2 linked regions of the Drosophila melanogaster genome follow. The protein of the gene in region 1 purifies or fractionates together with the protein of each later gene. This does not show direct contact. Each region holds a gene or a part of one and is shown in the gene's direction. Other genes may lie near its edges. The genes, in order: Mcr and LRP1.

Region 1 (4,921 bases):
AACGGCAAAACAAGATAAAACTCGTTGGAGCAAAGGAGCTGCTGCCGCCTGCTTGTTGGCTTTGTTGTTGTTGCTGTTGGATAGGCCCTGCGAGTGGGTCAGTGTTCGAAAAGGGTGTGAGGTTGCGGGTGGGGGTGGTGGGTAAGTAGGGGGTTGTGGGAGGTAGAATATACGCATGACACTCCTTGCCGCCGCACACACACACACTTGCAAAGATACACCAACACTAGCGGAGCACGCGACACACGCACACGAGGTCACTCACACAGGCGCAGGGCCGTATTCCCCAACACCCACACAATCGCACGCGTTAAATGTTATTAGTTTATTTACGGTATTAACAAAATGTTATTGGCATGAATAGTGTAGTACATCGTACATCATGCATCACACTGGAGTATGTACATCAGAGCAGGGAAAACACCCACACACAGACACGGATATGGTTTTTAAGCACTTTTCGGCATTGTGACAGTAACGCGTTGGGGATTTTAGTTACTGGGTTTCCATTTTCATTTCATTTCTTTTCTTTTGTGGCAAAGGAAGGGGGTGTCTTTATATTTCTCTTTTTCGCTTTCTTCTTGCTTTTTGAGCAGCGATGACGACAGCGTGCGCGGCTCTTTTTCCCAACGCTGCTCCGCTTTTTTGCCTTCAATAACATTTACACTTTGCACTATTTATGTAATAGTTTTTCAATCGGTGCGCGGTGTTTCATCTCAGCACGATTTTCGGGCACTGGCTGGCGAGCACTAGCCGCAGACTGGGTTACGAATTATGTACATTTTTCACATTTTTCCCCGATGATTTTTCTTTTGTGTTTTACTACCAATGAAGAGAACAAACTACCAATACACACGCACGCACTCTCGCACACACACTCACTGAGCACGCACTGACACACACACATGCCACCGCTCAATGACGAAATTCCTCGCAAAGCGTTGACAACTCTAGGTTCTAGCTCTCCCAGCTCCACTGCTTTTGCTTCTGCTGCGTGTGCGAGTGTGTGTGTGTGAGAGAGAGAGAGAGATGGGTACTTGTGCTGGTGTGCTTTTCGTCATAATTTTTGCGTTGGGCAACCCAGCACCTTTGACTTCTTGGCGACTTTTCACACGTAAATGACCGAGGGGGCTCACACTTTCACCGCTGGCACACAGACTGGGCCTTAAACCGATCGACTTTGCACAATTTTTCGCATTTACCTAGCACACAAAACACAAAAATTCGATTTTTTCCTCGCTGATATTTTCACGCGAATGACCTTACATCACATGCATACAATACACACACACACAGACAACTGAAGCGGTGGTATGACCAAGGCTTATAGTCAAATAGTAGCAAAAATACTGAACGATATATACTAAAAAGACTATAGAATGCCATTATCCAACACTGGCGCTGAGCGGATGAAGTTTTGCCATCTCTGTCTTACTCCCAGGCTAAGAACTAAATTCCCTCATATATTCTAGCAATATGTTATTCTTAGAATTCTGTGGAAACACGTAAATTATAACTGGTTCGCAGATTAAGCTTAAACTTAGTTAATAAATAAAAATACGCTTTTCTGATAAACTTTTGTAACGTTATGAGCTTACTTCCTTTGTTCCTAATTTATTATGACATTAAAATCATTAGGAATTATAAAATTTTCACATCAGCAGTTTGAACTCGCAGTGCGACCGTTAAATTCTTAGCGTTCTGGCCACACCTGAAATCTGGTATTGTGCCAATCTCTGCGAACGGTCACACTGCATCAGTCATCAAAGCGGGTGTGGATCGCTGTTGGTTTTGTGTTGTTTCATTTTTTCGAATCTTTGAGTTCCCGAGTTAGTTTTATTTACCTTTCTGTTGTTTAATAAAATGTGCATGGCCTGCTGAGCAGCCAGATTAGATCGAATTTCAGTACCGAGGTGAGTAGAAATGGCTTTTCGGAGCTCTTCCACTTGGCGACCCGCCCAAAAATCGTGTGTTTGGCCGTCTCCAAAATGCCTAAGCCAGTGTTATTGTGTTGTTGCTGTTGTTGTTGTTGGCACATGGGCGTTGACCGAAAAACGAAGAAGTGCCTCAAATATTGGTTACAACTTTGTACTATGTGCTCGTTGCTTTAATTAGTAATTGTAAAGGAAGTTTTTCGTTAGGAACACTTTGCCACTAAAAGGAAATGTGAGTGAGGATGGCGTTTTGGCCACCTGCTGGCCAATTGGATTGCGGCGTCTTCTTTCGTTTTTCTGCCTTCAAGCTCTCGAATTTCCGCCAACAGTTGCTCCTTTGGCCGCCCAAAATGTCCTGCCTGCTGTTTCAATTGCACTTTTGCCCTCTCAACTCATTTCGAATGGGTCTTCTCGGCTAATTAATGCCCACTTTACTTGTGTATTACGCTGGTGCTGGTGCGCCCTCTTGCACTGGAAAAAGTGATGTCAAATATATTTGTTATATAGAAATGTTATACCGAAATGGCATTTTTAAACGAAAGAAAACTCTATAAAAAGATTTTTTTAAATAACAAAATTCAATATTTTTTTTTATAATGAAAAATATTTATATTTTTAATATGAAAAATCCCATTTAATCAAGATCTTATTTATTTCAAAAGGTGAAAAAAATAAATCTAGTAAACTATTTTCTCTCTGTGTAGCTGTGCGCAAAGGGTGGATTACAAGTCGCGTTGTTGAAATTATTACGAGTTCGGTATTTGTTTTCACCGCCGAGAGTAGAGACTGGCCTATAGGCCAGTAACTTCTGCTGCTTCAGTGCACAGAGTATCTCGCCCAGGCCGATATCTATGGTCAGGTAGCCGGTTGTTTCATTTGCGTGTTTCGCTCAGTTCCAGTGGTCTACCTTTACCTTCATTTGCTCGCCAGTGAATGCATTTCAAATGCAGCCAGCCACACACACACACGCACTCCCTCCATCCATCCTTCAATTTCATTTCACCTCACTTGTCTAGAAGTCGGTGCCGGTGCCTCATTGTTCTCCTGGCGTGGACCCTTTTTGTATGGTTGCCATTAAGCGTTGACTTCTTACCCTACACCATGGAGTTAATACCTGAGTAGGGAGGATTTCGAGGTCCTTGCTCGAATGATGTATTCCCTGTGTGCCGGCTGATTGTGTGCTGATAAGCTGGAATACTTAAATATGCGCATTTTTTAATGTTGCACACATTTCTCCACCAGCAATTTGCAAAAAAAAAATAAATAATTTTTAAAAATGAATTTTTTAAGAACTCCTAAGAACTGTTTTAATTGAGTTCAAACGTTCCTTACAATTTGTCATACTTTTGAATTTTAAGTAGATTAAATTAAAAGTTCACATCATTATTGATATGAAAAATTGTCTATAGTATAGTATGGGTATATTCATAATTATTCCTCGAAAATCAAAGTGGTTTGTGAAGCTGAGATTTCGTAATCTCTTATAAATCAACCATAAATAACGAAGGCATTAAAAACCCATTCAAAAGAAGATTCGAACGCCTCAAATCCCAGCGTGGCATACATCTCTGCTGTCTAATTGCGCCGCCCACTTGAATGACATTTTACTTAATGTTTGACATAGTTTCCATATTGCCGCTGGCCCCTTAAAAAGATCTCCCTGAAGATACGTTCATTGCTCCTGCCGGATCGCGTCTATAGTCTATTAATACCGATGTCGGCGCCCTCATTAACGACTTGTTCGCATCACGCGGAAATCAACCGACCAACAACAATCCTCGAACATGAGATGCGGTCCATGACTTAGGGATTAGGGTGCTTTGGAAATACATATATGCGAAAAATTTAAAAAAATCTTAAGTACTTAACTACAGGCTATATTTAAAACAAAGTATTGGTAGGAGGTTATGCACTTATTTTTAAAGAGCAGCTTATTCAGGGATGTTAAAAGTGATTCTTATTCAATATCACAAAAAAACTTCATACAAAGCTTACTATTTTTTATCGAAAAATCGAATAAACTCGAAAATTTGTTTTGAAAACCATTGATACACCCTATTCGACAGGCATTAAAGAACAGGCCGATCACCCAAATCAGAGGCCTCTATTTATAGTATTTGGGAGATGCATTTATGCCCAGCGATTCTAATTCATTCACTTCTGACTTCTCCTCTCAGCAATGATGTGGCACTTGCTGCGCGCCCTGCTCGTGGTAGCCGCCGTCTTGGATGCACTGCAACCGGCGGTCGGACAAAACGACAACTACTACAACCCCAACCAGAACCAGCAGAATCCCCAGCAGCCGCTACTGCCCAACCAGCAGTGGGGTAACAATCCACAGACGAATCAGTATAGCAACAACAACCAAAACTTTGGCCAAACGAATCCCAGTGATCGCCCGCCGTACAGGACCGATTCGGGGAGCTACAACGATATTGCCGGGCAAGATGACTATAATAAACGAGTGGGAGGAGGCTATCAGGACAACGAGGAGCCGAGTCTGACTCGTGGAAAGTCGTCCTATAACATCAAGGCCACCTTCCTGGAATCGCTGCATTCCAGGGAGCCCACTTACTTCATTGTGGCATCTCGAATGGTCAGACCTGGTCTAATCTATCAGGTGTCCGTATCCATTCTTCAAGCTCAGTACCCGATAACCGTTCATGCCAGCATCGCGTGCGATGGTGTCCAAATCAGCGGAGACTCTAAGGATGTCAAGGAGGGCATACCGGAGACGTTGCTCATGAGGATCCCACCAACTAGTGTGACTGGAAGCTATAAGCTTCGAGTGGAAGGTTTCTACCAGAACGTTTTCGGTGGCCTCGCCTTCCTGAACGAAACAAGACTAGACTTCTCACAGCGCTCCATGACGATATTTGTGCAGACCGATAAGCCTCTTTATATGCAAGGGGAAACTGTGCGATTTAGGACCATTCCGATCACCACCGAACTGAAGGGATTTGACAATCCCGTCGATGTGTACATGC
Region 2 (4,863 bases), on another chromosome or scaffold:
CTTCTAACTAATCATATTCATAAGCACCAGGTGCATGCCTAAATATTCAGATCCGGCTGGCGGAGTCGCGTGACCCGTTCGGCGTTCTTGACGTGCTCCTTCAACAGCCCCATGATCTCCGTGTCGTACTCCTTGGGCGTGGGCTTCACCTCGGTGGCCCAGTAATAGATATCCCAGTCGTTGCTGACCCCGTTGATCAACTGGTCGTACTGCGCCGTCTGCTCGGCGCTGAAGTTCTGGAGATGCTTGGCCGCAAAGGTGCTCAGCAGAAGATCGTTCTCCAGCATTCCGCGCTTGCGCGATTGGTACAAAAGCCTGGAGGTGAAGTGTTTTTCTGGTTAATATTAAAAAATACTTATGGAAAGAATAGCTTAGTTGGTTGTACAACTGATGCAAAATTAAGAAGTGCGATCGATGATGAAGAAAAAAGAAACTTGGAGTTTAAATCCTATTTTTCTGTTCTACATTTTAAAATTAAAATAGTATAAATTTTTCTAAATAGAGGTTGTCATGCTTTCTTAAAAAAAAGTAGAGTTCATAAATGGAAGTGTTTAAGGCAATGGTGGATGAGAGCAAAGGGAAAATATATATATTAAATATGAGCTCTTTTAATTAATGATTTTCCTTATAAGTAAAGTAAGTATAGTAAAGTATAGAATAAAGTAAAGTATAGTTATAGTAGTAGTTATTAATTAATAGTTAATAATTTTACCCACCGTTGCTTGCGAGTTTCCAACGGCTCGTTTGGACGCACCGGATACTCCGGCAGTGGAAGATAATCCGGGTCCTCGTAGTCCACAATCACGTCGTTGAAAGTGCTGGCCAGTGGTGGTGGCGGTGGAGGAGAGTCCTTCATGTTGGACATGGAGCGTCTCCACGGGAGGAAGATCCAACCCGAAATATCCATTGTCAACTGGGCGTTACGAAAATAAAAATAGAAAATGTACATATGTAGAAAAACTGCATAAATTGCATTCAATTGCAGTCTTATGCAACCGGTTCGGGTACATTTCCAGGGCTTACCCGTAGTTGGCGCAGCATTCTGGGTACAGACAATTATGGAATTCTTAAAAATTTTTCTGTTCGGTGGGTATTTTTGGATTTGTATTGAGCTATCGGAAAATTTGAAAAATCAAAATATTTTGACAACTGCCGGCCGTTCGATTTGTGACTAAAAAACGAAAAGTGCGTTCTCTGTCTAACAGAGCTTTTTTTATTAAGGGCCTTCCTCTGTTTTATTTTTAATTAGCACTTGTTGATATTTATGGCATCGCCAGACGGCCATGCCCTCGCCGCCCATCCAGAGATCCGGGAATCATTGATAATAGTATTAAAAAGAGTTATAAAATAATTATTACAGTAAGCATCACAGTAATGTTGTGTGTTGTTTTGTGTGTGGTGTTTTTACCATCGACAACGTCGATTACGTAGAACTGGATTATACATGTTTTTGGAACAAATATCCCCATTAAAAGTAATGAGGTGATTATAAATCAAATTAATTTGAAATTAGCGCCTTACAATTTCTGTGTGGCCAATTAACAGCACTGTTAAATTTCTTCATCACACAAACATCGACGGTGTGACCGGAGTCGCGGCTGTAAAAAATACTGTTCAATAGCTGCGCGTAGTATTTAACCGGTTGGAGCGCTTCAATCGGTAAACGCAGTTGAAGGTGTTCGGTCGCTTCGCGCAAATCTCGCAGAGCAGAGATCGAAATATAATAGAATCGAGCGGTCGTGCGTGCTGCTGAAGTCGAAGAAAAAATTACGGGAAATCACGCCGCTTCGGTGAAAACAGCCGGCAAAATATAATGAGTTAATATTTGTTTTTTTCCGTTGTGTTTGGCGGATAAGAAAATCGCGGCATGAGGGATGCTGAAGTGATTGAGTGCGGTGTACTAATGTGCAGCGAATTCTGAGCGCGTAAAGCGTTTCGAAAAATTAAACAAACAAAATGCATGTTTCAATGGAAATCTAAGTAAAAAAAAGTTACCTGTTTGTGATTTGCTTGCCACCCCCGGTTTACGTGTGTTTGGTGTGAGTTCGAGTTTGTGAGTGTGTGAGTGTTGTGTTATTGTGTAAAAGGAAGGCTGAAACAACACGAAGGAGAGCAAGAAGAAGAACAACAACAAGGAGAGTCGCGCGCGCGTCTGTGTGTGCGTGGTAGCGTGTGTGTGAGGAGAGCGGCCAGCGGCATAATGCCGGCGACAGCGAATTCATGGATCTTGTTGCTGTTGTTGTTGGTCGCCGTGGAAAGATGCAGCAGCAACAGCAGCGGGCGCATCAATAGTCGCAGCAGCAGCAGCGGCTACAGGAAGGTCCAGTGGCAGGAGCAACAGGAGGCCCCCACTCTGCGTCCCCTTCCCGATAAAGGTACGTGTGCTATCTCCGTCTGGCTCATCTCCCTATCTCCCTCTTCCCTCTCGCTCCCCCGCATCTTAATTGTTGTTAATCTGCGGTGCATTAACCTGGCCTAAGTAAACAACTCCTCCCCCGCTTCCCCTCCCATCACACTGGCTGTGCCAAAAATAACAACTGCTCTCTCCGTCTGCCATCCTGTCTCTCTGTCGGTCTCTTTGTCTCTCTGTTTTTGTATGCTGTTAGTTCCCCTTTCTCCATGCCCCCTCCCCCATCAAGCGTCACTTCACTTTGTTATGCAAATTCCTTGGTTTTCTCGCCGCAAAATGCCGCAAAACAAATGAAAATAGAAACAAAAACAAGTGTATGCAAAATATTTTTGTCGCTTTTTTTGCGGTTTCGGTTGGAATTTTCGCGCAACGAGAATTAAATAAAAATATTTGGCCATCATGCAAAGATGCAGATCTCGAGGATAGTCAAAAAAAAAAGTAATTGAGCTTGCATTCTTTCCAAAGAGTTTTCAAGTATAAAAGTTGAAGGACTTATAGAGAAATAAGTCTTGTAAAAATGTACTGAATTAAGGTCTATATTTAATTAAAAACTGCACTATTTAATTGTTATATGTTATTCAAAGAGAAAAGAATAGTTATTAAAAATCATTAGAAATGTTACACTTGAACCCATCACTTGACATTTTGCATGTAAGCAAGTAAAGATACATATAATTCGTAGTTCGCGTCAGCCGCTGACACCGAATGAAATACTTATGACCGCGGAAAATTTGCGCTGCAACAACAAATAAATTTAAATAAATTATGTACATACATACAATGGACTTCTTGACTCGGTCGCATTATGCATGCACATGATCCATGACCCGGGGGTCCAAAAGTCTGCGCACAAAGGCCACTGCTGCCCCCATCTCGTTAAGATTGTGAAGAAGGAACGCGCAGAAGTAAATAAAATTAAAGTAAGCATTTCCTCATTTGACGAGCGATGCGACGCCAGCACTCAGTGACAATTTGAGAGAGCGAATGCACAGAAGGCACCGAAATCAATCAAACGAATTGTCTGTCTGTCTGTCTGTCTGACTGACAAATCCAACGAGACAACGTAACGGATGAGATAAACGACAAAGTTAGAAGGCGACTCGGATTATTCATTTATTAAGCTTGTGCACTTATTTCGCATTCACTGCGAGATCTGTAATTCCCTATCCCTACGCAGATTGAGAATCGGCTTCTCCTGCGATGAATGCAGTAGCTAGTAGCTAGCTGCACCTACAAATGTTAATGACACCTTGTTGTTTATGTTTTATTTTTGAAATCTCATTTATAATCTTTTCGCCAAAGTGCAAACAACAAACGAACACTGTATTAGAGCACAAAATGTGTATTGTTGCTTCCATTTAAAGTCCAGCTATTTATATAGATCGTATGAATTTACAATATAGATTTCCTTTTGTATCGTGTTTTTCAAGGCCGTTCACTTGCCATTTCACAAATCGCATAATTAAGCCAATTTGCATTTTGTTAATCCAGACAAATGGATTGGCTAATGCTTCTACTAAAGAGAATTGTATTCTGGAAAACAAGATAGCATTTGTTTTGGCCCAAAGGCTTAGCTCTTTATTAACTAATCATTTTCAACAATTAAGCTTGGTTTGATTTAATACAATTATTAAGATCAGCTCTCTATTTTAATTCACTCTAAATGTCATATTACAATTTTTACATTTTGTTTCAATTTACGTAAGAGTTCTGTCTAATTTTTTAACCTGCCGCGGCCTTTTGAACAGTTTAACCATTTGCGACGCACCCACAATTTGCGACCCGTGCACAAATTTGTGTAGCTGGCTGAAGTGTTTCGCAGTGAGCGTTCTTCCCCGCGGCTATAAAGTGGTGGAGGGGTGGTGGGATGGTGGGGTTAAAGCTCTGCCTGCAACCCTACAGTGAATCCTCCCTTTTGCCGCCGCTGCCTCCATTGCCATTTCTGCCCCGGCCATCCTGGGCTGGCGGAAATATTGCGGAAATCGTTTATCATGTCGCCAATGGCTCTGTTTTAATAATTGCTGTCCGCGTTAAACGGACGGTGTGGAAAAAGGGGGCGGGAAACCGGAATGCAAAGTGGGAGTGGCACGCCTCATTTGTGTTCACGAACGGAGGCAGAAGAAGTGATGAAAGCACACTGATTGTCCCCAGCGATAAATTCATGAGCGTAACTATTTTTGAAAATTCGCCCAAGCTATGGTGAACAAAAAACTATCTTGTTAATAACTAGTGAAATAGTGCAATAAAATAGATGGATTATATAGCATATGTGACTTTTTTGATGAAACTATAATTCCGGCTTTATTTCTTATCTTGCTCGTGTGTTACGAAGTCACGGAATCGGACACTGATAAGGAATTGGGGGTAATGATTAAAGGTTAATTATTTGTTTATAATTAATCAGTAATCTTGAACACTAAAGCAATCCTATTTGCTATTTGCAGGTGCTTCCT

What was found.
Region 2: the proteins of Mcr (region 1) and LRP1 purify together in Drosophila melanogaster (affinity purification with mass spectrometry, with the first as the bait; one large-scale study listed by BioGRID). This does not show direct contact.

What each region holds. Positions count from the first base shown.
Region 1 is NT_033779.5:8,079,803-8,084,723, reverse strand, and holds the start of Mcr (macroglobulin complement-related), read left to right. Parts: upstream 1-1,741; 5' UTR 1,742-1,913; intron 1,914-4,111; 5' UTR 4,112-4,113; coding exon 4,114-4,921.
Region 2 is NT_033778.4:8,172,457-8,177,319, forward strand, and holds the start of LRP1 (LDL receptor protein 1), read left to right. Parts: upstream 1-1,708; 5' UTR 1,709-2,200; coding exon 2,201-2,375; intron 2,376-4,863. Other genes in the region: CG14757 (uncharacterized protein), read right to left, coding at 39-315, 717-913, 1,024-1,041.